Linked DNA regions of Rhinolophus ferrumequinum. The protein of the gene in region 4 purifies or fractionates together with the protein of the main gene of each other region. This does not show direct contact. Links are inferred from orthologs where the notes say so. Each region holds a gene or a part of one and is shown on either strand. Other genes may lie near its edges. The genes, in order: WWP1, ACVR1B, RNF111 and SMAD7.

What was found.
Region 1: the proteins of SMAD7 (region 4) and WWP1 purify together in Homo sapiens (affinity purification with western blotting; 3 studies listed by BioGRID, with this or other methods). This does not show direct contact. The link is inferred for Rhinolophus ferrumequinum from reciprocal best matches to the Homo sapiens genes SMAD7 and WWP1.
Region 2: the proteins of SMAD7 (region 4) and ACVR1B purify together in Homo sapiens (affinity purification with western blotting; 3 studies listed by BioGRID and IntAct, with this or other methods). This does not show direct contact. The link is inferred for Rhinolophus ferrumequinum from reciprocal best matches to the Homo sapiens genes SMAD7 and ACVR1B.
Region 3: the proteins of SMAD7 (region 4) and RNF111 purify together in Homo sapiens (affinity purification with western blotting; 3 studies listed by BioGRID). This does not show direct contact. The link is inferred for Rhinolophus ferrumequinum from reciprocal best matches to the Homo sapiens genes SMAD7 and RNF111.

The regions. Positions count from the first base shown.
Region 1 is NC_046297.1:1,988,849-1,996,966, reverse strand, and holds the start of WWP1 (NEDD4-like E3 ubiquitin-protein ligase WWP1), read left to right. Parts: upstream 1-4,946; 5' UTR 4,947-5,083; intron 5,084-5,540; exon of another isoform or gene 5,541-5,797; intron 5,798-8,118. UniProt on the Homo sapiens protein: E3 ubiquitin-protein ligase which accepts ubiquitin from an E2 ubiquitin-conjugating enzyme in the form of a thioester and then directly transfers the ubiquitin to targeted substrates.
Region 2 is NC_046293.1:52,177,422-52,185,039, reverse strand, and holds the start of ACVR1B (activin receptor type-1B), read right to left. Parts: upstream 3,442-7,618; 5' UTR 3,362-3,441; coding exon 3,271-3,361; intron 1-3,270. UniProt on the Homo sapiens protein: Transmembrane serine/threonine kinase activin type-1 receptor forming an activin receptor complex with activin receptor type-2 (ACVR2A or ACVR2B).
Region 3 is NC_046289.1:50,671,364-50,678,931, forward strand, and holds the start of RNF111 (E3 ubiquitin-protein ligase Arkadia), read right to left. Parts: upstream 3,536-7,568; 5' UTR 3,361-3,535; exon of another isoform or gene 3,153-3,360; intron 1-3,152. UniProt on the Homo sapiens protein: E3 ubiquitin-protein ligase. Required for mesoderm patterning during embryonic development. Acts as an enhancer of the transcriptional responses of the SMAD2/SMAD3 effectors, which are activated downstream of BMP.
Region 4 is NC_046302.1:40,149,471-40,158,064, forward strand, and holds the start of SMAD7 (mothers against decapentaplegic homolog 7), read right to left. Parts: upstream 3,561-8,594; 5' UTR 3,281-3,560; coding exon 2,665-3,280; intron 1,290-2,664; coding exon 1,236-1,289; intron 1-1,235. UniProt on the Homo sapiens protein: Antagonist of signaling by TGF-beta (transforming growth factor) type 1 receptor superfamily members; has been shown to inhibit TGF-beta (Transforming growth factor) and activin signaling by associating with their receptors thus preventing SMAD2 access.

The DNA.
Region 1 (8,118 bases), on a different chromosome or scaffold from region 4:
AAAGGTTAGATAATAAAATAAATATTTTAAACTAAAGTGATATTTTATTATGTTTATTAATAATATAAATTATTTTGTGACATCATCTTACTTTAGTCTTGGCACAATATTTAGTGATATAAATTTTATGTGCTTGAGTTCTAAGTTCAATTGATTCAATACTTAATTTTAAAGGCTATCATACATGAAAAAGACACTTCAAAAATATGTCAATACAAGAGGACAAAGTATATCATTGTCTTTAGATATTAACATATAGTACTCATTTTTCATTCCCAGTTACGCCAAACTTTTTGTTGAAATTCAGATAGGAAATTCATTTCACCTCAATGTCACTTTGATGTAGGCACTGGGTTAAAAAAAAATAACAGAAGGATTCAAAACTCTTCATTTGCAAGATGTTTAGATAGGATAGAAAATTCTATTTCAAATCCTACTTCTTTACTTCTATGTGACACCATGGTAATCTTAACACCATTGTCAATCTTATTACATGTAAGTAATGAAAAAAATTAATTCATATGTTGGACCCACAAAATGGATGCTGCCCCAAAAAGATTAGATTATTTAATGGAAAAGTGAAATTATCAAACAAGTCGAAAAAAATAAGGCAGGTAAATGACATGATCTCAGGATAGGAGAGGACTTGTGAAACAAAATATAATAGAAGAAAACAAAAATGGAAAAGACCAATACTTTTATCTACATTATATATAAATTGCCTTTTTGCGAATATTCCAGTAAGAAAACGAACAACGAACCAACAAGAGGATTCCATATTTCCCATATAAAAATATACCATGATGACTTTGAGGAGTGAAGATAGGGAGTATACACAATGGAGTCACTTTAACCAAGCTGCTGAAATTATTACCATTATGAAGGCTGAGACCTGAGGAGACCATTCTTGTTCTAACTCGCCTGGAAACTTTAACTCCTTTGAGCTTTCCAGTCCTGCGTCAGTGCCTGAATAGACATGTGGATTTCCAGGCAGCCCTGTAATTACCCCCCGGGGACTCATATGTCCAGGCCACCTGATGACCCCCTAAAGGACTCATGTATTCATCCCCATGACATCTGTTATCCAAACCACTGATCTGACCATACCTAGTACCCATTCTTGGGACCACCCGGCATCCACCATCCTGCCTGTCATCTGATTGATAATTGTCCTGGACCAATCTTAGGGCTAAGGAAGCAAGACTGATAATTCTAAAAAATGTACTTTTGGCTAAAAATTTTTAACTTTTCTTTCTTCTTTGAAACACTTCTAGGTTTTCATCGAACTGTGTTTCCGGTTTGCAAACTCCAAGACCCTTGAATAAATATCATTTATTTCTAGCAAAGCCTCCAGACTCTTTTTGAGTTTGTTCAATAAATTTGGTATAGTAAAGGACAATTATACACTCTCACATAGTATTATGGGAATTTGATAACAATATCGCAATAGTAATTTATTGATTATGTGCCATGTAATGCTAGGTATTTTATTTGTAGTAACTCATTTACTTTTTACAAAAACATCATATGGTAGCCTTATACCGGTTTTCTGGTTGAGGCACAGTCAACTTAAGGAATTTGGCTGAATCTCACAGCTCATAGGTGGCTACAGGGTTGACTTATCCAATTGTCACAGCACAGTACCTCAGGCTCACCGTACTTTTGTGTGTGTTCCATGCTATTGAATTGGCTCTGACTCCTGGAGACCCTGTAAATGAGTTATGTCCACAGTGTCCTGTCCTCACAGGCCTGCTCAGCTCCTGGAGACTCAGCCTGTGACTTCCTTTACGGAGTCAGTCCATCTCCTATTTGGTCCTCTTTTTCTGCTGCCTTCTATTTAACACAGCATTATTGTCTTTTGCAAGGAACCCTGCCTTCTCATGATGGGCCCAAAGTAGGACAGCTTCAGTTTTGTCATATCTGCCTCCAGTGATGTTTCAGGCTTAGTTTTCTTTAGGACCCACTTGTTCATCTTTCTGGAGGTCCAGGGTATCCGTAAAGTTCACCTTCAACACCATATCTCAAATGAATTATTATTTGTTTCCTAACAGGCTTCTTCACTGTCCAACGTTCACATCTGTACATAATAATTGGGAAGATGAGGGTGTGGATGCTCTTAGCCTTCGTCTCTAATGATACATCTTTGCTCTTGATGATCTTTCCTAATTCTTCCATTGCTCCCTATCAAGTCTCAGCTTTCATGTAATTTTTTTGGCTGCAGGCTTCATTTGAATTGATGACTGAATCGACTGAAACAAAATCTTTAACAATTTTTATGTTGTCATTGTCTATGTTAAAGTTGTGTACTTCTTCTGTAGTCATGATTTTTGTCTTCTTGATGTTCAAATGTGGTGCTGATTTGGCACTTTCTTCTTTGACTTTCATCAGAAATTATTTCAACTCATTGTGACTATACTTTCAGGGGCCCACAAAAAATGTTTTAATTTCTTTTAAAATCAGAAGAAAAACAACTGAATGTTCAGGTTGAAGAAAACGTTTTAATGTATGCAATCAGTAAGTTCACGTTTATGTCAATGCAGTTATAATTTTTAATATTATTTTATGGAGGAAGAGACCCACAAAGATAAAAGCATGTAGGACCCATGAAAGTCTGAATGTGGACCTGTGTGGCAGAGCTGCATTTTGATCCCACGCAATAGGGACATCTAAGCCTAAGTACTTTCTGGAAGGTAACTTGCCGATGTTTCAAAAGGGCTAAAACTGTTCATTCATTTGATTACTTTTTAATGATTTAAACAGACAGTAAGTAAGGACATGGACAATGATTTATGAAAATATATTTATTTGTAATAGTGTTCATTTGAAACCAAAGAATATATAACAATAAAAGGATGTCAACTTAGGGACCTAGGTGAATACTAGGAGCTTCTGAATGGAGCTGAACTGAGGGGGAAACTGAGGACTCAAAAGTGCTGGAAGTGAGATTGACTCAAGCAGGACGCAGAAGGAGGCCTGTATGTATTCTGGACATGGACTGCAGACTTCTGCTGGGCGTGTGTATGTAATGTCTGAGAGTATACTTGTATAATAAGTGTGTTCTTGAATTTATTTTTAAGGGAACTGGACAGGTGAAGAAAAGGTTAGAATAAATAGTACTCGGTAAAGCAGAGAACAGTGAGCACAGTCAGGGAACTCTGAAGCGTTTTCATAACAGGAGAGACCAAGTATTTGAACATAGAAGACTTGAAAATGTTAATCTTTGTTTTGAAAGCCCCAAAGAGCCAATAAAAGATTTGAAGCCTTGGAGTGACATGCTCAGATGGGTAGTTTAGAATAATCATTGTATATATATTGTGCCTCGCATGTAGGTATGACATAGGAGGGTGGGAATGATGCATTGGAGTGGAAAATAATATATATTCATTCAAACAAGAGATATTTACCGACTCTTACAAATATTCACGGAGTGTCGATGCTGTTCCTAGTACATGATTCTTTTAAAAGCTTAGTTATGACAGAAGAGAGAGAACTAGAAGGAGGTTTTAAAGTCAAAGGATAATTTAAGACAGAAAAGACTTAAAACGTAATTCTGCTGAGGAATTGTTGCCAATAGCAAAGGCGGGAAACCTTGCTATGACAAGGACAGGGTCACAGGAAAGAGCAAACAGTGAAGAGGTTCACATTGGAGAGGTTTCAACTTGGGCGTAGCTATAGGTAATTTGTTGCGGCTGGGTGAGGCAGTTGGGCAAAAATTGTAGAAATCCATGCTCCGTAGCCTTTATTATGTCTCTGAAGTTACAAAGAAGCTCCTGGTACTGTATTTTGACCAAGGGGACTGAGGCCTGCCCCACCCAATTGGAGCTACACAGCTATATCCTCATTTGTATCTTTACTGACCAATCAGTGGTTACATAACAACCAATCAGATCACATCATTCTGCCCAATCAGGACAGTGCAATTTGGACCAATCAAACGGTGCAAATTGGGATTCCTCATTTGCATAGAAATAGACCAATCAGGCACCAATGGGGAACTTCCTCCATATAAGCAGGTTTCCCTTTGTCTCTGGTGTGTGATCTATGGGTTTCCTCCTGAGGCTTCCTCCCTGGTGTGCAAACTGTTTACCTGAATAAAGTTTCTCCTTTCTTGGCATCCCATATGGGGAACTCCTATTGCCATAGGCTTGGCGGCAGCGACCTTTTGTTGACAAGGTCATCTGGTGAGTAATGGGGTCACCACTGACTTCCATTTGCAGTGGGACCTTTTTCTCTAAACGCAACATGAGGAACCAACAGCATCTCTGCAAACGAGCGAGCCATTTGTATAAATGGGGATGACAGACTCTTCTTTATGGGACTGCTCTGTGGGTTAGTTACAATGACACACGTACTTGATCAGTGTTACTTTTATCATTGTACTCATGGTGGGGTAAGGGGAACAAAAGTTTGGTGACTAATAATGGCCTGGAAAGTCTTTGGCTGAATGCAATTATTTACTCTTGCAATGGTTTCCTGAAGCGCCCAGCTAGTTCAAGGACTATTTATAAACAGCCTAGCTTTGTTGTAAAGCGTTCCACACTGGAACGCTGGTGCCCCGAGGTCCTCACTTGAGGTGACGCGCCATCCCGCCCCAGCCCGAAAGTCACGTCAGCAGCATGCACCTCCAGCCTTGAGTAGCTTCCCCCCAGTCTCCGCCCCTCCGCTGCTCAGGCCCCACCCTCCGCTCCTCGGGCCCCGCCCCCCTCTCCCATTGGCTGGCGCTCCCTGTCCCCCGACCGCCCCGAAGACCCGGAGCAGCGGACTTTCCCACAGGCGTCGCCGGGCTCGCTGGCTGCGCATGCTCGGGGAAGCCCGATCCGGTCCAGAGTCGGCGGCAGGGCGGCCGCGGTGCAGCGCGGGTCGGCCGGCGGGGAGGCGCGCTCCCGAGGAGGGAGGTGTGGGTCGGCGGGGGCGGCGCGCGGCAGGGGTGGGTGGGGGGAGGGCCGGGTGTCCGCGAGCTGATCCGAGTGGCTGCGGGCGGCCTGGGCTGCGGGGCCGCGCCTGCGGCGAGATGGCGGTCCTGGGCGCCGAGGGCTGAGGCGCCGCCGCGGGGGACGCGCCGCTGCGAGGCCGCGGGGAGTCGGTGAGGACCGCGGGGCGCGGGCTGAGGGCGGGGGGCGCGGGGCCGGGCACCGATCGCCGGGCGGGACCCTCGGAGGCTGCCCGCCCGCCGGGCCGGACTTGTCTGGGGCGGGGTCGCGAGTCCGCCCGAGTCGCCCTGGCCCAGGCCCGAGCGAATGATACCCGAGCGGCGCGAAGTGTTTCCGTGACTGCAGCCGCGGCTGTCCAGCCTCCTCAGCTTGTCGTCCCCCTTTCCCTGACACCGCTCCGAAAACACCAGTGTGGACTTCCCGCCGGTGCCCCGACTCGCGCCTCAGCCCGTCCCGGGCGCAGGGCTCCCGCCTTGGGACGCCTCTTCCCGGCTGTTTGGGTCACTCCCGGGTCCTCGCGGACTGCAGCGCCCCAACGCAACCCCACCTCCACCTCGGTGACCCGGTCGGTCCCAGTGACCTTGCAGTTTTCACTGGTCCTTATCTCATCGGTGACTGGGACCTTTTCCTGGCGTCCTTTTATGCACAAACATGAATTTCGTAGTTTGCCCCTTGCGTGGAAAGGCTCGGGCTTGTGCCCTGCACGGTCCTTTCTTCACTCCATCGATTTGGAGTGCAGCCTCCTTCGCTCCCGTAATTATAGGAAACCTTCAACCAGAGCAGAGCAGTACCTATTCTTGTGACCTTTTTACTCTTCCAAGTAAAATCATTTCCAGGGGCCTGACGTGGCTTTCTTTTTCTATTTGGTAAGTCTTGTATCTTTCTGTGTAGCCTCATGTTCAAAAAGATTTGAGTGTCTGCTTTGATGTGCTGTTGGCAGGAGTGGTGGAAAAGAATAATGTCCAGAGTTATCTTTCGGGCCCTTTGGTGTTTTTACGTGAAATACCTGGTGAGCAGTTGTATGCGGGTTTCGGCAAGAGGTCACACGGCGCGTGTACATCCACTTGATCTGTCTCACTAGGTCTCTGGGTGTATTATACAAACAAAATGCACCTTTTTAGAAAAGAAAGGCATTCTTTTATTTATGTGACTTGTTTGTTAGCTATAAAGGACTAAATTAACTCTGACTGGAAATGATGACTTTTCATAAATAGTTAATATTTTTTAAATTGAAACTTAGTGGCCGAGCGTTGGGAGGTACTCAGGTTGAGAAGTGTAAAAAGTATGTGGAGGAGGTCTTTCAGATGTAGTTGACTGACATTTTCACACAGTTTTTCTTTGCAACACGTAGGCTTTGGAAAGCTGAAAGGAAGGGTTATGTTTTTTGGAGGCCATGCCCGTTAGAGAATGTCACAGATAAAGTCTCTGCTTTTAAAGAGATAGAAATCTTTGTTGTTTACCCCACCAAGTCTGAAATTTCTTTTACTCCTTTGCAGTTATTGAACACCTACTACCATACGTGCGATTGTGCGGTATTTTGGGGAATATAAAGATGAGGATGATAACAGTTTCTGCCTTCACAGACAAGTTGGGCAGATGGGACTATACACAAATGCCTCATTTGTCCTTTAACAGATAGTTAAGCTACATCCAGAATCCAAATTCAGAAGGGGTAGAGCTCACAACCCGTTTGGCAAGGTGGGGTTAGGGAGGTTAGTTGTAGAGCTTCTGGCTTCCGAAATCTTTGTTTTAAGGATGACTAAGACCCTTGCTAGGCAGGGAAAGGTGTAATCCAGGCAGAGAAGGGACAGCACAGACGTCATACATTTGGGGAGAGGCAAGTAATTATGCTGGGATGGAACATAAAGTATTTGTACCAGTAACAAGGAGGATAAAGCTAGAAGTAGAAAGTGGGCCAGTTTATTATTGCGTTTAATGCCTGGCTAATGACCTTGGATTTAGTACGTGGTGGGGGTTTTACAGATGATTTTTGAGTTAGCAATGTAACGATTACAAGCTTTGTTTTCAGAGGATCAATCTGGCAACATTGTGTTGTGTGAATTGAATAGAGAGAACCTGGGGGTAGAAAGACCTCTGGATTGCTGTGGTCATAGGTAGCGGTGTCTGCGCTGTGGCCGGTAAGAATAGGACTGGAAAGGAGGAAGGAAGTGGATTAGACAGAACTGCTGATGAAAGAGAAAATGAAGAAAGTGAAAATAACTATGATTCTGATCCAGGTTGGTTGGGAGAATATAGTGATACCATTTTGAGCAACCTCTATGGAAGCTTCGTCTTCGGCACGTGACTGTCACTTTGCAGCAGTACTTGTCAGTCATTTGGGGATTAGTAATCCTTGATGAAATTAAAGTAATCTGCTGGCCCAGAAAATTTCCATATGCACCTGTGTTTTGTGGTTGTAAATTTAGAGGTTGTCCGTGGACCACCTGAAGCTCATCCATGGAACCCTTGGTCCAGTGGGTGGGCTTGGAAGCAGCTCTCAGAATTACTGGGGGCCTTTTAAAACAATAGAAGCTTCAGATTCTTCCACTACTGATAAGAACCCCTATTGTAGAGACATACTGTAGATACACCTAGAGACAGTATCTCCTTACACTTGTATTGTGGTTTGCAGTGAATTTTGACTTATTTGCTGTTATATTACAGAGCAAACTAGCCCAAGAGGTTAAGTGTTTGCCCTGAGTATTTCAATCATGAGTGGGTAAAGTGGAATCAGGAGTTGATTGACAGTGATGGTTGCTTTCTTGTATGAAGATGTTTTATATGCAACTGATTTACCATCATTGGATATTGTTACTGCCTTTACGTGACCTCATCAGTGGGGTCTAGATGATCCTTGGGAGGTTCCTTCCAGTTCTTAACATTTTGTGATTTGGGGTCTTAGGTTTTCCTTGGACTATCTGTACCTTGTTTTCCATGTGCGGGGGAGAGCTGGTGAGGCTGAGGAATGAACTGGGCATATAGAGAGTGACATCAGACCAATCATTTACTTATTCCTTTGGATGGGCGGGGGGAAGTGAAGCAAGTGAAATAAAAAACTGTCAGAACTTGTATCTTCTCTATTGAGGTATGCCCTACTGAAGAATACGCCTCCATTCAGAAAGCCTTTATCAAGTAAAAATGGAAGCTACAAAGAAAAGGAAATGCTGGAACCTAGTCAGTGAATTTT
Region 2 (7,618 bases), on a different chromosome or scaffold from region 4:
GCCAAACCAATAAAGCCTAAAGCAGGTCACTCCCTCCCGACTGCCTTTGATTAGCACAGGTATGCTGCCCAGTCTACGATGTAAGAGCCTGTCAAAAGATAGAAATTAACTGGAGGAAATCTGACACGGTCTACAGAAATGCACAAATAAGAAGAAATTAACCACACTGTGACACGTGGTGCTTCCATTAATCCCCAGGGTATGTTATTCTGCCCCATAAGATAAAAAGTAACCCAGCATTGCTTGTTCACTGAAGTCAGAAACTATGTCTAAAAATACCTCCCAGCCAACTGGCTATCAGTAAGTCAGTCTCACAAACGTCCCAATCAGAGCGACACAGACTGTTTCCTTACTTTACAGAGGGAAAACCGAGGCAGTCACAGAAAGGTTAAGTGACTTGTTCAAGGACAACCTGTAAGGGAGCGAAGTTCTGGGGCGGAAAACCAGCCTCCTCCCTCCATCTGGCTGTAACCTTTAACCATCTTACTATGTTTTAATCATATCTGTTCCAGGAGCTCTTTTAATAAAACTAATCAGAGATTCCCCTTTTCTCTTTAAGAGTTCACTTTCACTGTACTTCAAATCCATGTCCACTCAACAAAATTACAAGACTTGGCCTGAAATGAGATGTTTAGCCTGCTCACAGAAATTCAAAATGTTCCTATCAGAACCTCAAATGTCTCCCTTGTTGCTTTTGTCTTAAGAAATGAATGTCATGCTCTCCTGCTACTAACTAACGCAATTTTACATTTTTAAATAGTAACGTGAAAATTCCAAAGCTAGGCCTAAAAACACGATACATCTATCAAATGGATGCTGTTTAAAACCTGGAACTCATTCTCCTTATCACTGGCCTTTTCCTAAGTCGAAATTAATTCACTAATTAATAGAAACACCTATCCCTTGCTGCCCTCATGTCATGTCCAAGTACCAGGCATCAGCTGCCTGGCTCTGCCACTCCTCCAGCCCACCTAGGGAAGCATGACAGAGGAAATGCAGGGGAGGAAAGCAATCAACTTCTTGTTATCCCACAGCCTCGATTTTCCCAGAACTGACGTTTTATTTTAAGCCTTTTGCAACAGTGGTCTCTGTAGCATGCACTATTGGCAACTAGATGTGTCCCGGAAAAAACTGTAGTGTCTGGCCAAGAAGTTTAAAGGCTTCGAGAATGTTTGCTGGACACACAACCTAATTTCCAATTTACCAAAAAAAGAAACTAATTCCCTATTTATGACCACCCATCCTCACCCCAACAAACATCCATTTTAGGACGGTTACAAAAAAAATGAACTCTGCCCTATTCAGAACCAGCTGGATTATCAATTAAACATTCTTAACTAGGCTCACAACAAGAAAAGCCCCACAGACACTACACTAAATCAACAGAGAAATGGCTGTTAAAAATCTTGGATATAGTAGAGACAAGATAAAAATTCCTATGGAAGGAATTTAAAGATTTATTCATACTCATATGAAATGACAACCTGAAGGCCGAGTCTCCTTATTTACCACCCCACTAGAGAAATAACATTACATGACCCTTTCCAAAAACATGGCCCACAATAAGGCCCAGCAAATATTATTCACAAAAACCACGATCTTACCCACCATCGTCAGGCTGTGTTCACACACCTTCACCATGTTGATCAGACCCATGGCATATTACCAGGCACAGAGCAGCGAAACCCAGGCACACACACGAGGTGCTTAACAGAAGCATTAGCCAGTGAACAAAGACCCCACTGCACAGGCTACCCCACTGGGAACAAATATCAAACCTGGAGATAATGAACTTGTTTTTGAGACTCCAAAGTGGGATAATGTCTTTTCTTGATTGTCTGGTCTATTAAAGAAGCCTGAACCCACCTGAGAATCATTATTTTTAGTGGCGAAGAGAGCCACAGAACACACACTCCATCTCCCATTGCTGGAAGGCTAGGGGCTGCTGAGAAGTCAAAGCAGCAGGCTTTGTACATCGGAGCGAATACAATCCTGACAGTCTCTCCCAGATCCATCTGTGGGTCAATAATCATTTCAATATAACCGCCAAATATAACCTTCATCTGCTACCCTAATGCCAAAACACACTGGGGACGACTCTCTTCAATTAAATATTTTAGGATTTCATCTGCTCTTCTCAGGCCCCCAAAGCCTCTTCAACACACCCAGCTGAGGGTCCCACAGAAAGGTAACCACCTCCATAGTGGGCTGGCGGCTGGTGGTATGGAGAGCCGGCTGTGGGGGATGTAAGGTGAGGCTGGGGGAGGGGGGAGGACTTGGTGGGGGGAGAAGGGTGGGGAAGAGGGATGGTGTGGGAAGGCAAATAAGTACTGACCAGGGGCCAGGCAGCCCGTCCAGAGGTGGGATCTTTAAATAATCTTGGGGGTTGAAGGCGGGTTCTAGAATTTCTAGGATTCAAAGGCATCCATGAAGTGAGTAACTGAATGGGCCCCCTAGGGTGCGGTGGGGGAGGCAAGATGGAAAGCAAATACACCTAGATGCTGATTGCCCGTTCTGGAACTAGGTTTCCCAGGGTGAGAGAGACTCCAAAGGCAGGCTCCAAAACGGCTGAGGGGCCTGTTCGTCCCTATTCCTCCAAAGAGCTTCCACGGGGCGTGTGGACTGGAGGTGGGGTGTTTGCCCCACTGAATTCAAGGGACCGCGCGAAGGGGAAATGTGACTCCCTTCCCCAGAACATGAGGGAGGTAGGAGGGAGAAGAGACGCCCCAAGTGCAGGATCTGAAGGAAAGGTTCGAGACCCCTTCCACTCTGACTTGAGATGCCCAAGGATTCTCAACATCAGGGTACCTCGGAGAAGCTAAGACCCCATCGCCCCTGCCCCACAATCTTGGCGGGAGAAAAGGCGTCCCCCAGGAGCATCTGGAGGTAGGGAATGAAGACCGCCGCCCCTGGACAAGTGGAGGGGCAGAAACATGATCTCCAAATTTGGGGGAAGGAAGCCTGCGCTCCCTTCTGTGGAACATGAGGGTGCTGGGAGCGCGACCCCCGAGAGCTCCCCGAATCCAGCTCCATCTGGAAGAAGGGTCGGGTCCCCAGGGGTCCGGCGCGAGCTCGGTCGCGGCTGGGCAGCCGAGCCTCGGGGGGTCGGGAGAAGCCACAGGGGGGTCACCCCGACTCCTCCGCGCCCCCCGCCCGGCCATATTGTGCGCGTGGGGAGGGGGCGCGCTGTAGCCCAGGCGCCGCGGCGTGAGGCCTTGCCCTCGCCCGGCCCTCTCCATCCCGGCCCCCGCCCCCCGCCCCGGCACTCACCCTGGATCCCCCGGGGCCCGGACCCGCCGCTGCCCGCGAGCAGCAGGACGACGAGGGGGAAGAAGGAGGAGGCTCCGGCCGACTCCGCCATAGTAACCGCCGCCGCCGCCGCCGCCGCCGCCGCCGCCGCAGCCCAGCAGCGCCCAGCGCGCGCGCGCGCGCCCCCGGCGCCTCCCCTCCTCCCGCGGCCCCGCTCCCGCCTCCCGCTCCTCCGCCCGGCGCCTGCACGTGCGCTCCCGGCGGAGCCGGCGCTGCGGCCGCCGCGCGCGCCCCCGAAGGGCGGGGCCGGGTGCGCGCGGGCGCCCGCCTTAAAGGGGAGTGTCCCTGTTAAAGGGGTGGGAGGGGTGCGCCCCTCGACCCCCTTCACCGGTGGGTGTGAGCGCGACGCGGAGGAGGCGGAGCAGAACGCGCAGCCTCGGCCCTCCTCTGCACCCCACCCAGCGCAGGTTATCTTATCAGCACCGACCCCCTCCCCCGCATCGAATGTTCTACGAGTCCCGTGCATTTTTCCGTTCCCTTCACCCCTCCTGCTTAGCCCCGAGCCCTTTCACGTCCCACCGGGATCCTCGCAACCGTCTGCTAACTGATTTTCCCCCTGCAATCCTCTGGACGCTCAGCAACCTGTGTGATCAATCATGGGATGCCCCTTTCCAGAACATAGCAAGGCTTTTTAATGATAGTACTTAGTCTCGGTAAGGGTGCTTATGAGGCACTTCTATCCTGCTGGCAGGTAGAACCCTTTTGATAAACAACTTGGCATTATGTATCAAATGCCCTAAAATATTCATACCTGGTATTATCCCCTATCTGTCTTCAAGAAATAATAGAGATGAGGACAAATATTTACTAAAAGTGTTAACTGTTGCATGTGTATCGTTGTAAAAAGCTAGAAACTTAAGTAGACAATAACAAGACAAATTACGGCCCATTCATATGATGGAGTAGTATTTAGTAATTAAAAATTATTTTTATAAAAACTAATGACATGAGAAAATGTTGAATGATAATGATAAATGAGAGCATGTTAAACATAAAAGCAAAATGGAAGGGGGTGGTGGAAGAGGGAAAACGGGGTCAAATACATGGTGATGGTAGGAAAACTGACTCTCACTGGTGAGCACACAATGTGATATATAGATGATGTATTATAGAAATGTACACTTGAAACCTATATAATTTTACTAACGAATGTCACCCTGATAACTGTAATAAAAATTAAGAAGAAAAAGCAAAATACAGAACTGTTTACAATATTTGCCTAATTTTATTGATAATATCTACCTTTATGCAAAAAAGAACGGAAGGAAATTATCCAGTATTATCAGTAGCTATTGCCAGAATAATTTTTTACTTTTTCTTTAAACATTTCAGTGTTTCCTAAATATTTTATAAATAAACAAGTGTTACTTTCAAATTTAGAAAAAAATGCTTATGAAAAGTAAGCTGAATCACCATATCTTTCTGAAAAAGAGTTCACTTTCTTTAGCTTGAGATAGTGAAAAGGGTCAGGTTTTTGGAGCCACAGTTCTGGATCTGAATTCTCCTTTTCTTACTAACTGGCTGTGAAAACTTGGGCAAGTTTTTAACCTCTTTAAGCCTAATTTCATTGTCTAAGATGTAGGGGTGGAGATGATGATGACAACAGGGTGGTAGGAGGAGTTTCTCAAATGGAGTTCTCAACTTGTAAGCTGTCACCAATTGAAGAACACCCATCCTCAGCAGAAAATACACAAGACTGCAGACACACTCCCCAAACACAACTCTTTCTCCCCCCGACACATGTACAAAGTCGCGCAAAGGCACTATCTACAAGTGGGTCAGTGTAGCTGGATGAGTAAACACCTTATTTTTATACTGTTCTCCCTCACTGCCCCCCACATGGGCACCTCCTCTGTCTAGTCCATTTAACTCATCTCCCAAACTTTGCCCTACCCCACCCTTAGGGCTCCCAGCTGTGGTGGGCCCAGTGCTAGGTGACGGTGTTAGTGTCCTAGAGCTGCTGTAACACCACAGACTGGCTGGCTTAAAATAACAGAAATGTATTCTCTCACAGTGCTGGAGGCTAGAAACCTGAAACCAGGGTGTCAGCAGGCCCATGTTCTCTCCAAAGGATCTAGGGAAGAATCCTTCCGTGTCTCTTCTAGTTTCTGGTGGTTCCCAGAATCCTTGGTGTTCCTTGGCTTGTGGAAGCATAACTTCAATCTGTGCCTCCGTCTTTACATGGTCGTCTTCCCTCTGTGTCTGTATCTCTGTACAAATTTTTCTCTACTTATAAAGACACTAGTCATTGGATAAGGGCCCAAGTTCAAGTAATTTTTTTTTTAATTTTTATTGGGGAACAGTGTGTTTTTCCAGGACCCTCAGCTCCAAGTCAAGCCGTTGTTTTTATTCAATCTAGTTGTGGAAGGCGCAGCTCAGCTCCAAGTCAAGTCATTGTTTTCAATCTAGTTGTAGAGGGTGCAGCTCACGGCCCCATGTGGGAATCGAACTGGTGACCTGGGTGTTAGGAGCACTGCTCTCTAACCAACTGAGCTAACCAGCCACCCAAGTTGAAGTAATTATAGCTTGACTACATATGTAAAGATCCTATTTCCAAATGAGATCACATTCACATGTTCTGGGTGGACATGAATTTTGGGGGGACGCTATTCAACAGTCTATTCACCAACCCCTGTGGTTGGGAAGAGAAAGCTGACCCCTCAGGAGCATGACTCTGAGGCCATGGGGAAGGGACTGTTCTTCCCTAAACTTGCTAAGGGCTGCCACTGTGGCTGCAGGACCAAGAATCCCAGAGGACACCTGTAGTAGCTTTCCTCCTAAACTGCAAGGTCAGCCGCGTACCTGAATATACAGCCCAGGGAACCAGAATGCTGGGTCCACAGACCAAATGCCACCTCCATCAGCCCACTTGCTAGCATTTGACTTTAGCAAGATATTTCACCTCCCTAAAACTCAATTCACTCATGTATAAAATGGAGTTCATCATAATAGTTCTATCTCATAGGCTGTGAGGATGGATAAAGATATTGTATGTAAAGCACCTAGCATAGTCTCTGACACACAGGAAGTGATATAAAAAGAATTGCTATTCTTATGATGGTGATTTGACCTTCACTACAATCCTATGAAGTGGTTGAGGCATGTCAGGGTGTGCACAGTTATGGGCGAGGCAACTGAGACCTAGGGAAGGTAAGCGACTTGCCCAGGCTCCCATATAATTAAGTGTTAAAGCCACAGCCTACCTGTTCTGTGCTTCTTCAACATCGCAGCATCTCGTGCTTGTTCAGAGACTGGTCTTCAGGAGCCAGCTGAAGGTGGGAAATTCGACTTGATGGGGTGGGAGAGGGAGGTTTGTTATATTCTTCACATCTTATTCCTGAGAGTTTGGGGTATCTGCTCAAGTCAGAGCTTTCCTAGGTGGTGCATCTACCTTGCCTTTTAGGTCCCAAGCTGCATGGGGACAAAGTGTCCAATCTACCTGTGCTCCTTGGTGCAGCCTGGCTCTCTTACCATCCCTGAAGGCCTCAGCAAAGTGTCCATTTCTGTAAGTCCCTTTAATCTTAGGGCTGGACCCACATCACAATCTATGAACTTCTAGTCAGCCCTGTTCTGTCCCTTTGTCATGAGATTCCCCGGAGCTGCCAGGACTCACTTTTCCAGGAAAAAGTCTTACTCCCCAGGCTCCACTGACTAGACCACCTGGTGGTACAGCTGCCATCTTGGTTGCAGTGCATCAAGACACCCCACCTCCTAGGGGATCCAGCACAGTTTGTCTTGGTGAGCAAGCAGCAGGGTCATTAATCCCACGAAGGCAGCAGCTCATATTCCGTCATCCATTCTACAAACACTTGTTAAACACCTACACCATACCCAGCACAACATATAAACAGGTAAGTCATGATCCTTGCCCTCATGTAACTTACAATCTACTAGAGACAAGCATTTTAAAAAGCAACAATGTGTTGCTATAGTGTACACCTGTAGAGGGTCCATGGGGGCACTTAGGACATGGATGATTCAACTCTGCAGAGACAAGCCGAGGAGCTGGGAAAGATCTCACGAACAGGCCATACTACAGCTGACTGTTGGAAGAGCAAAGAATGTCCCCTAGATAGACAGGCTTGTCTGGGGCAAGGGAAGGCAGGAGATTGTTGCTGGCAGAGGGAGCAGTGTGAGCAAGATGCTGAGGTGAAATTGCCTGGCATTTAGGGAAACCAAGAGCAGCAAGGCAGTACCCCCAGGGAGTGCAGAGTGAAGGGAACTGGTGATAGAGTTGAAAGGTAGTGTTGGAGAAATAGACATGGAACTGCACATAGAAGTGTACTTTTCTCCAGTGTACTTAGAAGGG
Region 3 (7,568 bases), on a different chromosome or scaffold from region 4:
ATTCCTTGATATCATCTAACACCCATCCACATTTAAATTTCCCTCAAAGTGTTTCAAAAATGCCGTTTTACAATTGATTTGAGTAAGGATTTAAACAAGGTCAACACAGTACATCTGACTGCTACACGTAAAATACAGTTCACCTTTCTTTTTACATTGTCTATCAGCAATTATGAAAAGGTTTAACAGACAAACCAAACAATTTTCACTTGTAGATTCTCCAGAATCAAACCCAATTTAATGCATTTGCTGTTCTCTTTGTCTGCAGCACTCTTCCTCCAGATTGTCACTATGGCTGATTCTTTCTAGTCATTGATCGCAAATCAAATATTTCCTCTAAAAAAGAGGCCCTCTCTAACCACTCAATCCATAGTAAAGCTCCACTTCCATTCATTCTCCATTACATAGTCCTATTTTCTCAAGGCACTAACCACTACCTAAAACTATTCTGTTTATTATCCGTTTCCCCCAGCTAGTGTTCACTCCACTAAGTGCAGAGTGCCTTCTTCACCGAAGACCAAGAACAATGCCAAGAACATGAGACATTCAATAAATACTTACCAAATGACTAAATGATAATGCAGTACCTCTATTAAAAACGTAAGCTCAGTAATATTTGTTTTTAAACATTTGTAGCTCACTCCTCATGTAATGGTTTAGAGTACTTGCAGAAACCTGGGCCAGCTATTTGCAAGAATCTGAGATACAGGAAAGAAAGGACAGAGGTGCGTGGCATTCAAATGTAATTCTGGACTTTTACTGAACAGTGATCATAGGTTTCTGAAAGAAAAGTTATTCGGGATGATTTAAAGAGCATTATCAAGAGTAAAATAAAGTTTCATTTTTTAGTATCATATAAGAGCTATTAAATCATGACTAATATCTACAATGGGACAGAACCATTACCTGGAACAACAAACATGGCTTCACCATAGTTTTCTTTTCCTAATGTACAGTATGTATCATGAAGGAATTTATACTCTCAGTATAGCATTTCTTTCTGGAGATTGGATCACGATGAATACAACAATAAACACCAGAAACACCTAACTAAAAATACAAATCATTAAATTTAAGACCTAGGGACAACTGGCTATCTAGCCGACACTTCTCATTTAAAAGTTGAGAAAGATCTGAAGCCCAGGATGGTTATCAATAGTTACAGATCTAATGACTAGCAAGCAAAGCTAGATCTAAAATCCCGATGTCCTGTCTCTAGCCCTATACTCTTTCATAACATGTCACCAATAGAATATTAATGTCAAGTTATAACATACTTTAATTACTACCATTTTTAGTATTGTCATCCCCCTCCTTTGAAATCCTAGCCCACTGGAATAAAAGTCAAAACAGAAACACATATAATTATGCTCTAAATAAACCATGTTACAGAAACTCTTCTTTGATAATAAAAGAAACATCTAAAAAAATCTAATTTGATTCAGTGAGATTTTTATTCCACATTGTAAAGTAAAAATGACTATTTAGGAATATCTGCTGACTATACCTTTGTTTTAGACATGTCGTAAACTGCCATTCTTGTATTTTAAAACATCACTATAGCTATTTTTCAATTATCTGTAGAAATAAAGTACTGAAGTAAAATTTGTCAAGTATAATGTATTTTTCACCAAAATGAGATTATATCCTTCTTCAAAAACCAATTCCGGTGACAGAACTAACATGCAAGTGACCAACAGACACCAAACAAAAGGAAAAAAGTGACGGAAGAATCCACACATATAAGATAGAGCACCCCTGATGAACAAGGAGAGACTCTTTCTAGTTTTTCATACAATATTGTTCAGACCGATTCATAAACACGCTCACTAGTTCTTAGAATACTACTCTGTATCTTAGGCAGCAAACAAATGAGCAAGAGAGATGTCATTTGTCCTAAGTTAAATGACAAGAGAGACAGACGAATGTAAAATAATACAAGGCTTTAAAAAAAAATTTTTTTTAAGATTCTTTTTAGAGTAAAGGGCTTCTTTCTCATCCTGTTTTGTCTCACAACCAAGGACTGTTTAGAATGAGAAACATGGTTTATTTATGACATGAAAATTTTTACTGAAATACATAGAGTAACAAACTATCAAAATGCAGATCTTCACCCTTATAAAGCTAAGTAAAACCATTATTATAGAACTTCTGTGTATTATTTAAATTACATTGTAACATTTGAAAGCAATGACACAACAAAAGTGGGAAAGGAAATGGAACTTTAGCTTTTCCCGTCTGTTCTTTTTAGTTGAAGATGTCCCTAAAACAAGAAAATTAAACATAAAATAACAAATGAAATAAAGTTTGGATTAAGTTAGGTTCAATAGGTGTAAGAACTATAAAGTCTGTTAGCTGGCATCTTACCACTCCAGAGTCCTAAATTCATACTGCACATAAATCAAGAAACAGGAAAGCATACAATACAATGAATGGAGTCATTCCACACTACAAACATGAACAAATTAAATGAATACCCTATACTTCCTGGTATTTTTTAAACGTTAAAACTTAGACTTGCGTTAAGAAGTATCTGTAAAGATCTATTATAACCTACTTAACAACTATTGTGAAAACCCTCTATTTCTGCCGTATAGAACAGCTATTTCCACTACAGCATTGTCACTGATTGATAAATTATCTAAGGAGAATAAGAATATCAAGCTTTTTTTTTTAATGACCAAGCCAACTCTATAGAAAATCTAACGCGTCTGTATTTCTGCTGTTCCGGGGACGTTCCCTTGATCACATAAGAAGGCAATTCCCCAACCGTGAAGGCTGACTTAGCGCCCTCCAACACCCCGGGTGCGGGTTACCTTCATCACTCCATTGTCAAATCGCACACCCACGCCTCGGTCCTCAGCCCCCATCCTAAGACTCTAGGTAGAGTCGAAAAAGAAATCCCCTTACCCACATTCCCTTACTGTGTGGGGTGTGGGTGTGTCTGTAGACGAATGCTTCGCTCAAACACAATTAGATCTTCTGCGGAGACCCAGACCCTAAGTCATTACGCAGCCAGCAATCACCGGCCGGTCGCCGACCCCAGCCTTCCGCGGCCGCAGCCCTTCCTCTTTCTCCCCTCCAGGCCGGCCCCTCCCCCGTTGCGCGCACGCGCGGCCTCCAATCGATCCCCTCCCCCCTGGCCCCCTCACCTTAATCATTAGCCACCCTCTCTTCCCAGGGTCCTGGAATCACTGGCCCAGGAAGGCAGACAGGAGATATAAGGGCGGAAAAGGATGTGTCGAGAGCCAATGATCTGCGCTTCAGATCTCGGCCTAATAGGCCCCTATAGTAAAGAGCAGCGTCTGTCACCGCCACCAAAACTGTACGAGCTGCAGCGCCTGGTTCGGCCCAGCTCACCCGGCTTGGGTTCAGATGCCTAACTTGGTCCCACAGGAACTCCTTCCCCGAAGCTGCGGGCGTTTCTTTGCTGCACAGACAGAAAACCTCGCCACCGTCGCCGCCACTACTGCTGTTCTGCCGCTACCGTCGCCGCCGCCGCCTTACCAATCCCTCCTCTACCAAGCAAGCACGACACTCCGAGGCTTTACGACAATTCGGAAAGTGAGAGCGCTGTAGCCTTCACGCCTCTATTAACATGTTTGTTTCTGCGCTTGCTCAGATTCTTGTTTCTCACTGCCCCGCCCCTTCCTTCCCGGCCCTCCCCCTTTGTACTCGCTTTATCGGTCTGTTCGTGAAGCTGAATGGTGTCCTGAAGCTTGTAACAGTATTTTATTTTCCCTGGTGATTGTGCGTTCGGTATTTAAGCAAAACACTGACTACATAAGTCTTAGCTAATTTTTTCGTAACTAAAAATTACAACTAACTACAGAATTATTGACCATATTTACGGTACAATTAAACAAAAACATCATGGTTTAGTGTTTAATGACAAATGATACCCAAATCATACTCGCTGATGACAAAGATCATGGCACCTAACTGTTAAGATGAATCTGCTTCCAGAATCAGATAAAAAGTGGTCATAGATATCCTGAGAACTGTCTGTGCAATCATACACGCCTCCTTATTTCATGAAAATCAGTGGACAGCAAAAGTTTCATTATGTGCATTAGGAGGATGTAGGCTTTGGAATCAGACTTCCTTTCAAATCCCAGGGATACCAATTAGCTGTCTGATGTATTAGTCTTTTATAAATCTATTTCCACAAAAAAAAAAAGTCAAATACACCTCAATTTAGAAAAAGCATATGTAAAACAAAAAATTCTCAATTTCCTCCTCTATAAATTGAGATAATATTTACCTCAAAGGGTTTTTTTTGTGAGATAAAATACATTCTATATAATGCTTCAGACATTATTTACCAATTAAGTGTTTAATAAGTATTAATTCCTTTTGTCATAAACTTTTTCTCAATACCTTTTTTGTTCACTCATGTTCTCAATTTTGTTCAGTGAAGAAAATATTTTAAAATAATAAGAAGAAAGGATAGCAGATTGTGTGCGGAAACTAGAAGAGCACTGTACTAGGAATTTTCCTCAATCCTCCTCTTTTCTCACTCTAAATGTAAAATTCTGTCTGGACTTCTCATCTACTGCCATGGTTTTAACTGTTATCGACTCTTAACTTCTCAGAGTTGTACATTTCCAGACCTACTGTTCCTATATTTCCAGACCTAACATTTTTTCTAAAGCTCTTGCCAGCTTTTCTAAAGCTGTTCTCCTCAATAAAGTAGGTTCTAGCCACATATAGTTGTTGAGCATGTGAAATGTAGCTGGTACAAATTGAGAAATGCTGTAAGTGAAAACCATATATATTCAATTTTAAAGATACAATATAAACATTGTAAAAATCTCAATAATTGTTAATGTTGATTACGTGTTGAAATAATATTTTGGATATATTGGGTTAAATCAGTGGTTCCAAGCCTGGATGATTTTGCCTCTCCCCCCAGGACATTCAGCAATATCTGGAGACATTTTGGTTTTCACAACTTAGGGGGGGGGGGGTAGCTACTGGCATCTACTAACAAGAGGCCCAGGGATGCTGCTAAACATCCTACAATGCACAGGAGAGCTCGCCACAACAAAGAATCACCTGGCCCAAAATGTTAATAGCACAGTTGAGAAACCCCAGGGTTAAATAAAATATACTATTAAAATTAATTTTACCTGTTTCTTTCACTTTTTAAAAAATGGCTACTAGAAATTACATTTGTAGCTCACATTATATATCTATTGGACAGCACAGACTGATCTAAACCCATATGGCTGTTTGTTATATATGTCATTTCCACTTTAATCTCCCACAAGCATCTCTAACACATCATGTCAAAAATAATAAATAAATAAACAAACAAATAAATAAATGGAGGTATATTGTATTTACACCAGATCCATCTCAGCCTTTCTTGCCTCAGTCAACAGGACCAAGTTATCTAACTAGAAACCCCAAGGTCATCTTTGATTACTCCCTCTTCCTCACTCTCTACCTCTAATCAATCTATTATATAAGTCCTTCCATGTGTGCCTCTCAAATATCTCAAATATCAAAAATCAACCCATTCCTCTCCATACTCTGCACTAGTCTAGGTCTTTAGTATTCTGTTTAACAAACATTTATCAAGTACTTAGAATGTGCTAGACATTGTGCTGGGCACTGTGAGTACTAAATAAATAATCACTGCCTTACTTGCAGTGTTTTATGAGACCCAGAAAGCAAATCTATTATTTACACTGTCATGTGGAAGGGATAGGATGGTGTAATAGTGCTCTGAGAATACAAAGGTAGAACACAGTAGTCAAACCAGCAGGATATTTAAACTACAGTGATGTTTAAACTAAATTTTGCAACATTAATAAAAATAGTTAAATAAAACAACTAAAGGGCATTCGAGGCAGAAAGATCAGCACATGCTAAGGTACAGAATCCTGTACCTGAAACAGCATGAAGCAAATTCTCTACTAGGAGCTACTGAATGTATCTTGGGGAAATTATCAAGAGTTGCGAGAAAAAAAAGTAGATAGAAATGGACTAACTTAAGTAAGATTGTGTTTGCTAGGATAAGGTATTAGAACAATTTTATACTTAAAATACTGGGAGCCATTAAAGGAAATCAATCAGAGCAATAATAGATTTGACTATTAGAGATCCCATTTATAAACCAAATAGAGGGTGGATTGGAGAGGAGCAAGAGTAAAGGAGTGAAGACCAGTTGGAATGGCAGGTAAAAGTGAGGAGGGTGGTGGAAATGAGAATGAAAAGGCACAGATTCAAGAGATAAGAAGACTTAATAACTAATTGGATATATGGGGTGGTAGTGCCATTTAATAAAGAAACACAGGCTTGCAAAACCCAACTTTTTGGGTTTGGGACTTTTGGTTGGGGTCAGCATGAGGAAAAAGGTTCAGAGAAAGAAAACAACTACTCCTTTATTGGGCAAGTTGAGTTTGAGGTATCTAATATTTACTCAAAGTAAAGATTCCAGTAAGCTATTGGATATATGGGTCTGGAGCTCAAAAAAGAGGTCTGGACTGAAGACAGAGATTTGGACTCTAACTTCTATGTGATAGCTGAATCGAAATTTTTGAATGAAGTCACCCAGAGTATAAGTGAGAAGAGACAGATATCTGGGGAAGTCTGATATTTTAAGAGTCGAAGAATGAAAAGAAGTTCCAGAAGTATATGGATAGGCCAGAGCAAAGGGAGAAAAACCAAGAGAAGTAGGAAATAGGCCAAGTAAGAAAAAGAGTTTCAGTATCAAAGTGTGTTATCGACAATATGAACTGTCCATTAATTTGGCAATAAGGATATCTGTAAACAAGAGCAGCTTCAGCAACTGTCCTATATTTTAGAACGGGATTTCAGCTGGGGTGATTTTGACCCACAGGGGTTATTTAACAATGTCCACAGATATTTTGGAAAGACGCTACTAGCATCTAGTGAATATAGGTCAGGGATGCTGCTAAACATCCTGCAATGCACAGAACAGCCCCTCACAACAAAGATTGATCTGGTCCAAAATGCCAATATTAAGTTGAGAAACCCTGGTTTAGAAAGGACTGAGCAGTGTAGTTAGACAATGACCAGTACTTTTCATGAAATTGGTAGTAAATGGAAAAAGATAGGACACATATCTAGAAGGATAGAAATGAAGGGAAACACGTCAGCATAGAAAGAGAGATGAAAGATAATGAAAATAAAGGGATGCTCCATGGAGGCACAGGAAATGGGATTCAAAGCTCAGATGGAAGAACTAGCCTTGGATAGAAGAAAGGAGAGTCCTTTCATTGAAACAGGTGAGGAGGAGGAGGAAGTGATTGTACAAATGAATTAAGTGTGTTAGCTTCAGGGGGAACATTGAGGACTTGGCTCATTGAATGACCTTGATTTCTCTGTGAAATGTGAGGTAAGGCCATCTGCTAAGATAACAGGTTTTTGAAATGGCGGGGTGGAGAGTAATTAGAAGAGAGAGATTTTAAAAATCAGAATAGTCACTAACATGACGGCAGGGCGGTTATTAGATGGGCAACAAATCAAAGGCGGGAAGCCCAGAGCAGAAAAGGCGTGAGACTGAGAAAACAGGTGAAATGAGGTTGTATTTAGGG
Region 4 (8,594 bases):
TCCTCATTAATGACCATTTATCTGGTGTTTTGTAAATCGAAAGCAAAATATCACATGCTTTGCAGGCCACTTATTAGACCGGCATCAGGCATCAGGCAAGCAGCAACGCCTTCCCAACTTGAGGGAGCGGTGGTGTCCCTGGAGGGCTGGGGGGGAGGGGGGGCTGTGGGCTTCGGTTACACTGTTCATTAAAGTATTTAATTTATGACAACACCCCAGCAGAACTTTTAATTAGTGGGGGGGAAAGCCCAACAGCCAAAACTCATGAGGCAGAAGGACCTGTAGAATTCCGAGAGCAAAAGGAGGCCCAACCCTTCACTTCTCCCAGAAGCTTGGCAAAAGAAAGTCACAAACATTGCATTTTTCAGGCACCAGCATACAAGGCACACAGTATCAAAGTTACAATCCCTACTTTTCAGCTAATGAATCTCCCACTGTAAGAAGGGGCTCCAGGACACAGGAGCCATCCATCCCTGTTGTTACCCCCACGTCCCAGTTTTGCTGCTCCTCCACCCCCCACCCCCACCAGCTCCATAGGGCGAGCCCCTGCACTGCCAGCCAGTTGAATGCAGACAACCGCAAGAGGATTGGTGCCAGTCTCAAATGAGCTTTTGCCCTGGCCCTGTGCCATCCGGTGACAAAGCAACAGGCAGGCAGAGCTATGCTAAAAACTTTCATAGCACCTACCAAGAATTCTGAGAAAACACGGGAGGAGTGCTGACTTGCAGGGGACACCAGGGCAGAGGTATTGCCTTTACTTCTTAAATTTTCTAACCTCTTACTCCAAGCCAAAGTCTTCTCTGCACCTTTAAAAACTGCCTTCCCTTCCCTGAAATTATCCACTCTTCCCACTGACTCCTCTGGCACTCACAAAGTCTCCGAATTTTCCCATCAACCTATCTTATTTGGTTCCCCAGACACTTCTGTGTGGGTCAAATTCCATGTGTTAAATCTGAGCCAACTTCGGTCATGGCGTGCAAATATATGAAAAAGGAACAAATTGTAAAATATATCTAGATAACGTTTTTGAGGGGGGAAAAACGTATATAATATAATCTCCAGCCACAAGAACAGAAAAATCTACCAAACTTCTAACAGAGGAAACCTATAATCACCTCCGCGAAAACCCAGCGCCTCCCCAAGAAGCCGCTGCCTGGGACAAAAAAAAATCCGCGTTCTAGAGGCTCCGTTTCTAACTTAAGAGAGGAAGGATATTTTTAAAATTATCTACTCACCAGTTGGTTTGAGAAAATCCATCGGGTATCTGGAGTAAGGAGGAGGGGGAGACTCTGGAATTAAAAAAGTAAGAAAAAATAAAGGCCGAGCCATGAGAAAGAGAGATAGAAACTTATGATAACAGAGGCATTCTTTTAGCCCAACTGTTTGTCTTAGCTGTGGGGGTTGGAGGCAGGGCCGCGAGGCGGTGATTGCCTTGATATTTAGCTGTCAGATAAACAAAAGAGGCCGCCTGGCGCCAGCCTCGGCGCTCCGCTCCTCCACGTCTGCGGCCGCCGCCGCCGCGCACAGTCTGCCCGGCAGGAAACTACCCGCTCGGCCGCGACTCAGCCAGGCCGCGCACTTCACCGTTTCCAAAGCCGGGGTCGACAGAGCCCCCCCTCCCCGTCCCCGAACTTGGGACTCCGCATCCACCGTCCTCCGCCTCCCCCCACCCGCCGCCGCGGCCCGCCCCCCAGGGGCGCAATTCATCTCCGCTCCCCGCGGCTCGGGTCTGCACCCGCGCGGGGAATGCAGCGCTCCGCTTTCCCAGCCCACCCGGGAGACGCGCCCCAAAATGCGCTGGTAACTTGGGAGGATCTCTGGGCATCCCGGGTGCAGGCGCGCGCGCGCGCGCGCGCACACACACACACACACACACACACACCCGCACCGCACACAGACGTAGAGAAAAGAGAAGCCATGGAAGAGGCTGGATAGACACAGAGAAGGAGACTGGGGTCTCAGTCCAGGCCCCAGCGCAGTTAGGGGCAGCACCGTCACGGAGGCGCTGCAGGCAGACCACCCTAAGGTCACTTCTGTGCTTTCCTGTGCTAGAGGAAAGGAAAAGTAGGGGACATCCAACTTCCCGACTCCTTGTTCTTTACAGAGTTCAGACTAGATACCCAGTTCATCCTCCCATCCTAACCTAACCCAAATCCCCAAAGCTGCGCAGCCAGGGCAGTATCCGGGCCACTTGTGCCCTACGTGACTCTCCTTATTTACTAAAGGAGCAGAGACTTCCCAGCCTTTACAACTCGCTTCTCCCAGCCTTCCTTGGCGGGCCTGGAGCGAATCCAACTCGGCCACACACCTCAACGCCTTTCCGGGTTCGGGGGAGGCGTGACCCCTACTTCTCTGTGCACCCCCTAGCTGATCCGGAAATGAGGGCGTCTAATTTTTAACCGCGTGTCTGCAGAACGTGCATGAACATTGCTTATAGCCCCCCTCCAGGCAACAGAAGAGAAAAAAATGGAAGGGAACCCCCAGGGAATGCCCTTCCAGTTTCCCCGTGTTCCTTCTCTACTTTAGTCCCCAAGTCTCCTCCCAGGAAAGACTGTACACTCCCCTCCGGAGAGGTGGCTGCACAAACACACAGCCCACGGGGCTTTTCTTCCCCCACTTTGAGCGCCAGGGGGAGGGGAGGGTGGGCGCAGAACAACTTCTTACCTAGTTCGCAGAGTCGGCTAAGGTGATGGGGGTTGCAGCACACCAGCTCGGGGTTGATCTTCCCGTAAGATTCACAGCAACACAGCCTCTTGACTTCCGAGGAATGCCTGAGATCCGGCCACCTGAACACTTTGCACAGCAGGAGGGGGAGCGAGTAGGACGCGGGCGGCTGGGCGGGCTGCGAGCCGGCGGGCGCCCCCAGGCCCAGTCTGCAGTCCAGGCGGCCGGGCAGCAAGAGGCACGCGGTGCGCGTACCGCCGCGGGACTCCACGGCCTGGAGCAGCAGCTCCAGCTGCCGTTCCTTCAGTTTCTTGAGCACCGAATGCGTGAGCGCCTTCAGATCTGCCTCGGCGCCCCCGGCCGCGCCGGTGCCCGCGGCTGGGGGATGGGGATGGTGGTGACCTTTGGCACCTCGGACCGCTTTGCCCAGGCAGCAGCCAGCCCTGCCTGCGCCGCCGCCACCGACCCCATGCGCCCTGCCGTCTGTCGCCCCTTCTCCCCGCAGCTCGCCGCCTCCTCCTCCGCCTCCCCCCGCGCCCTCCTCCTCGTCCTCGCCGCCGGGCGCACGGCTCCTCCAGAGACGCCGGACGAGCGCAGATCGTTTGGTCCTGAACATGCGGGGCGAGGAGGCGAGGAGAAAAGTCGTTTGCCGGCTAAGGAGCGAACATGACCTCCGCACACCATGAAGAAGTCGGGCGCCGAGTTGGGGCAGCAGGCGCAGGCGACAACAGCAGCAGCAGGGGCCCGGGCAGGAGCGGCGGCGGCCCGAGGGGCGCTCCGTGGCATGCGCCAGTCTCCCGGAGGCCGGGGCGCGCACGGGGGCCCGGAGGCGCCCGCCGGAGCTCGGGGGCCTGCGCTCCGGCTGCCCCACCCCGCGCCGCCCGCGCCGTGCGCGGCTCTCGGGCCCCGGCGCACCCCGGAGGAACGCGGCTGCCGCTTCCCTGGGGGCGACGAAGCCTGCCCGGGCCGGCGCCTCCCAAAAAAGAGGCCCCCCCGCAGCGGCTTCCAAGTGTCGGGCTCGCCAGCCTCAGCTTCCTACATGGAAGATCCGCGGGGGCAAAAACGAAAGGCGTTCGGCTGGGCTGGAAGGAGGAAAAACCCTCTTTCCCCCTTGCTAAGCAACTTAATTTGGGGGTGGGGAGAAGCAAGCAATTAAAAAAAAAGGGAGGCACGCGATTTATTTTTTTCCTCTATATCCTTAGTAACCAGATCTCGAATTCCGTGCACAAGAAGACTCGGGGGAGGGGGCCGAGTGGACTTCAACCCGCATGAGATGTCTGGCGAAATAAGGAGGCTCTCTCAAAATTTAAGAACCAAATATGCAAAGCCCAAAAATGAAAACCACCACCTCCTCACACCCTGGAGGTCGGGGGCCGTCCGGTAGAAGCTGGGGTTTAAAAAAAAATGTTTACAAAGTAGAACAAGACGTTTGAAGGGTGGAAAAAACGTATCCACGAGTTACATCCCCCTTTATTCCTTGCAGATCCCCGCTGATCTTCCTCTCCTTTTCTTCTGCCCCCCCCAAAAAAGAAAATCGTATATATTTTTAATCCACAGAAAGCTTTGGCTAGGCTGCTTCAAGTCTCCGCATCTGGGTGTTTTAGGGGAGTCTCTGGTCTTTCCTCCTGCGCTCCCTAGGGCTCCGGTCCTCGGCGGGGACTTCCTCGGGGCTGGCGGGGGCGCAGGGGCAGAAGATGCTGCGGCGGCTGCGCCCGGCAGGGCTGACAGCGCGGGGGAGGGCGGCGCGGCGGCAGCGGGCCCCAAGCGGGTCGCGCGCTCTCGCCCTCTTGGGCGCAAGCTGCTAGCTAGTGCGGGGGCCGCCGGCGCCCCCTCCCCTGGCCGCGGCTGGCTGCCGGGGCTCCCCGTATGGGCTACTCGCCCCGACCCCGCTGCGGCGGCAGGAGGCCCTGGTGTCCTCACGCCGCCTCCGCCTCCGAGACTCTCCTCGTCGCGCCCGGGAGCTTCCTTGTCCCCCGTCCGCCCTCTCCTGGCGCTCGGGTCCTTCGGCCGCCTCCGGGGGCTCGCCGCGCAGCACTCAGGGGCTCCGGGGCCGAGCTCTCGGCAGCTCGGCGCCGGCAGGCTGGCTCTGTCTCCCGCAGCTCTCTCCCGCTCGGCGAGCGGACCGAGCACGGCGCCCGGCTGGCTCGGCTGGCGCGGCTCGAGGACGGCTCCTCCGTGAGCCGAGAGAGCGAGCGAGTGTGCCCCGGGCTCGTCGCCTCCCGCAAGGCCTCCCGCCCCCGCCCCCTTCCCTCCCCCTTCCTCCCCTTCCCTCCCCCGCCCCCAGCCGCCGCCGCCGCCTCCTCCTCCTCCCTCCCCCCCCCCCGCGGGCCCTCTGCTCTGCTGGTTCCACTGCGCAGTGGCGCGCCCGGCTCCGGCCTCGTCACGTGGCCGTCTAGACACCCTGTCGCTTTAAAAAAAAAAAAGCGATTGTGTTTCGCAAACAACAGATCGGGTTTCTAAAAGCTATTTCTTCCCCCCACCCCTTGCCCTCGCCACCCCCTCCCAAGTCTGCAGGGAGGGGGGACTATAGGTGGGGGGGGCGAATAAAGGTGGGGAGCAAAAAAGCTCCCAGAATCGGCTGAGAACTGGCCGGATCAGAGGGGAAATGGGAAGCCCCGAGAGCACCCAGCGGGCATCGCCGGCGAGTTTTGGAGCGGAACAAGCCGGTCGGTGGCCCGATTTAGACCCAGCTGGTGGAGCTTCGCGGTGGCTGTCCCACGCGCTCACCCTAGCGCTTCCATTCATTCGTTTTGTTTTAAAGGCCTTGGCGGCGGATCCCTTGGCCGCGCGGGAGGGAACGGGAAGGACAGCGCTGTCTCGATTTGAAAGACATTTACACCGGACTGGACGGAGGCCCTGGGAGGTGTGCACTGGAGGGAACAGCCGGGCTGCTGAGGGCTGGAAGGCGGCGCGAATGTGACCTCAGCGGCGGCCGCGCGCTCCCTCCCGCCCTCTCCCGCTCCGGGCTCGGGTTTCTAGGACTGCCTGGAGAAGTGTGTCTTGTGCGCTGCTCTGGAATGCATTTGGCCGGCTGACGAGCTGCAAGGGGCAGCATCCTGGCGGGAGGAGGCGGGGGTCGCCCGCCCGCCGCCGGCAGGTTTCCTCTGGAGCCCGGAAGACCTCAGCCACCCCGCCTCTCGGCCGGGGAAGGTTACCTTTGGAGTAAACCTGCCTAGCATATGCATATGCATACCGGGCCTGTTTCCGCGCCCAGATCGGCCCCGTGTCTTTCAAGGTGCTTAGGTCAGAGAGTTTATCCCCTGACCCCAGGTTTGAGAGAAGCATAGACCCGCTGGCAGATAACTGCAGGGAAATGGGTTAAGCATTGGTAAGGCAAAGGACAAGAAGAAGCGTTTACTTAGTGAAAGCAGATGGTACCGAGAAATGTAAATTTAAACGTATAGGCATCAGTATTGATGAGGACACTAGTTGGCATGGTGATCTAAACTCACATCTTATTCAGTGAAATAAGATTTTTTAAAAAAAGTCATTTAGAATTTTGCGATCGGGAGGACAATGAAACTCATTGGGGGAATTTAATGAATCTTTAGAAAAGGTGAAATGCACTATTTTAATTTTCCTAGCTAAATTATACGTTCTTAAAAGGAAAAGACAGATGAATCTTAGCTTTATAGCTCAGCCCCGTCTCTTCCAGCAACTTAAAGGTGTCTGACATGCAGTAGATGCTCAATAAATATTTAGGAATCAACAGAGTTGAATGGAACTTAAAGGGGCATTTGGACCGCTCACCTCAAGCCCACCAAAAGCACCTTTGGAGAAATAAATGAGAGAAAATCAGGAACAATGGTTACATGACCATCTCCAGGCAAGGGGGTCCTGAAGCTCATTGACCTAAAAGATGCCAAACAGTGCAGAAATGTGTTGAAGGACAGGGAAGAAGTTGGCGCTTTCAACATTATTTTGTAAGGCCATATAGGCTGCAATTGTATAAAATCATAATTTTGTTACAAATAAAAATGTTTATTCACCCCAATAAATTTAAAAAAAAATGTTTATTGAAAAGGGCATTGAAACTTCGTGTGTGTGTGTGTGTGTGTGTGTGTGTGTGTAACTTTCTAAAGAGGCAACCTGTAAAGATAGCAGCCCAGAAAGCCCAAGAGAAAATGGAGGATGGGGAGATTTGGTTGTGGGTGATCCCATCAGCATAGGCAGGGAAAGATGGAAGACACAGAAATGGGATTTTTGAGGTGTCTGGAAAATGTATAATTTTAGAAAAGCTTACAAGTCAGACTAGAAGTCAGAAAATCTGAATCCTGTCTAGGGCTCTGCGACTCACTGGTTAAATAGCTTGCATGAGTGTTGATCCTCACATTAGGAGAGCACTTGGCAGGGTTTAAAAAGCTTTCTGGACAAGTTTCCTGCCCTCTCAGGGTCCCATTCCCTCTCTGTGCTCCAGGCCTCACTAGAAGATCTTAACTTTAAAAAAAAAAAAAAAAATTATATTGGGGGACAATGTGTTTCTTCAGGGCCCATCAGCTCCAAGTCGTTGTCCTTCAATCTAGTTGTGGAAGGAAGATCTTTGATTTTTAAGAGAGGCTAGGCCAGGCTGCAAAGTGACAGGAAGGACTTAAATAAACAGAGAAAGCAAATGTCATCATTTGAAGTAAGCCTTCTTGGCTAAATGGAGAACCTAAAGACTTGGAAATCTGGCCAATGGTGCTGACACCCTGTGATGAGAGGCCAGAGCATACACAGGGCAGGTAGGTTTAATGGGTGTTTCAGGAGTTGAATCTGACGTCACAGCTTGTCTGGGTGGAACATGCATACACTTGCAGAGATATGTTCCCATACAGTGTAATTGTGGGTGTTTTAATTCAGGCGTCACCCCTATCTTGCCCTCTCTACACAGCTTTCCTCCTCCATTTTACTGCCCTAAGTGGATGATGGGCAAGTAGCTACAATGGTTGGTGCTGCTTTATTAGCTCCCTGGCATTCCCTGAATCAGTTAATATCCCAAGCCTTCCTGAGAGCCGGCCCCACCCCGTCACATTCTTATTCCTTTCCAAGAAAGAAGCTGGGCTGTAGAGGAACTCCTGGCTGGCTGGTGTGCCTAGAAAGGGAGTTCCTTTCCTTTCCACAGGTCCAAATGAGACTAACAAGCACCCCATTTCAAAATATTCTGATCCTTTAGAAAAAAAAGAAAAAGTTTAGGAGTTCACCAAACTATTGTGAATGAGTTTGATTCTAATCATTTGCTGGCAGGGAATATGGAATAAAATATCTCATTTGCAGTTGTTTATTTCCTGTTGTGGCTTCTATTTTCATCTTTTAGTCACTTTGGTGATAGATATCAAACCGTAATCATGGTGCAGCCACAAGTCATGGAGACCAAAATAACTTGCAGCAGAGTTATGACAAACCAGGATGGAGTCAGCTCAAGACCTGGCTACTTAATCACTGGCCCTTGGCAGTGATCACAGCCCCTGAGGACTGCAGGGGCTGCCACTTGACTGACCGCTGGCTAAGCATCTAGAGGAGAAAGGAAGCCAGAGGGAAATTACTCCAAGCCCCGGGTCTTGAGCAGTCAGGGCCCCAGAGTGCACAGGAGGTAGAGGAGAAGCAGGTGAACCCTACACAACGGCCAGGGGGAGACTGACTTGAGAGAGAAAGAGGAAAGCGAACAAGAGAATTTACAAAACTCTCCATACTTACAAGCAACCCTAAGCAAAAGCCAAAAAAAAAAAAAAAAAAAATCACTCCTGTCCAGGGAAGACAGGATTTTTCCTTTCAGTGCTTTTCTCGATTTCAGTGGTTCCTGGAAGAGAAGGGCAGAGAGGTGCATATAGGTGTGTATTGGTAGGGCCCAGGGCAGGGGTGAGGCAGGGATAAGGATTTTTCCTTGCAGAAACAACTGAAGAGGCCAAAATAGTGTTGGAAAATATCAACATTTCTTGCACAACCATCCCCTG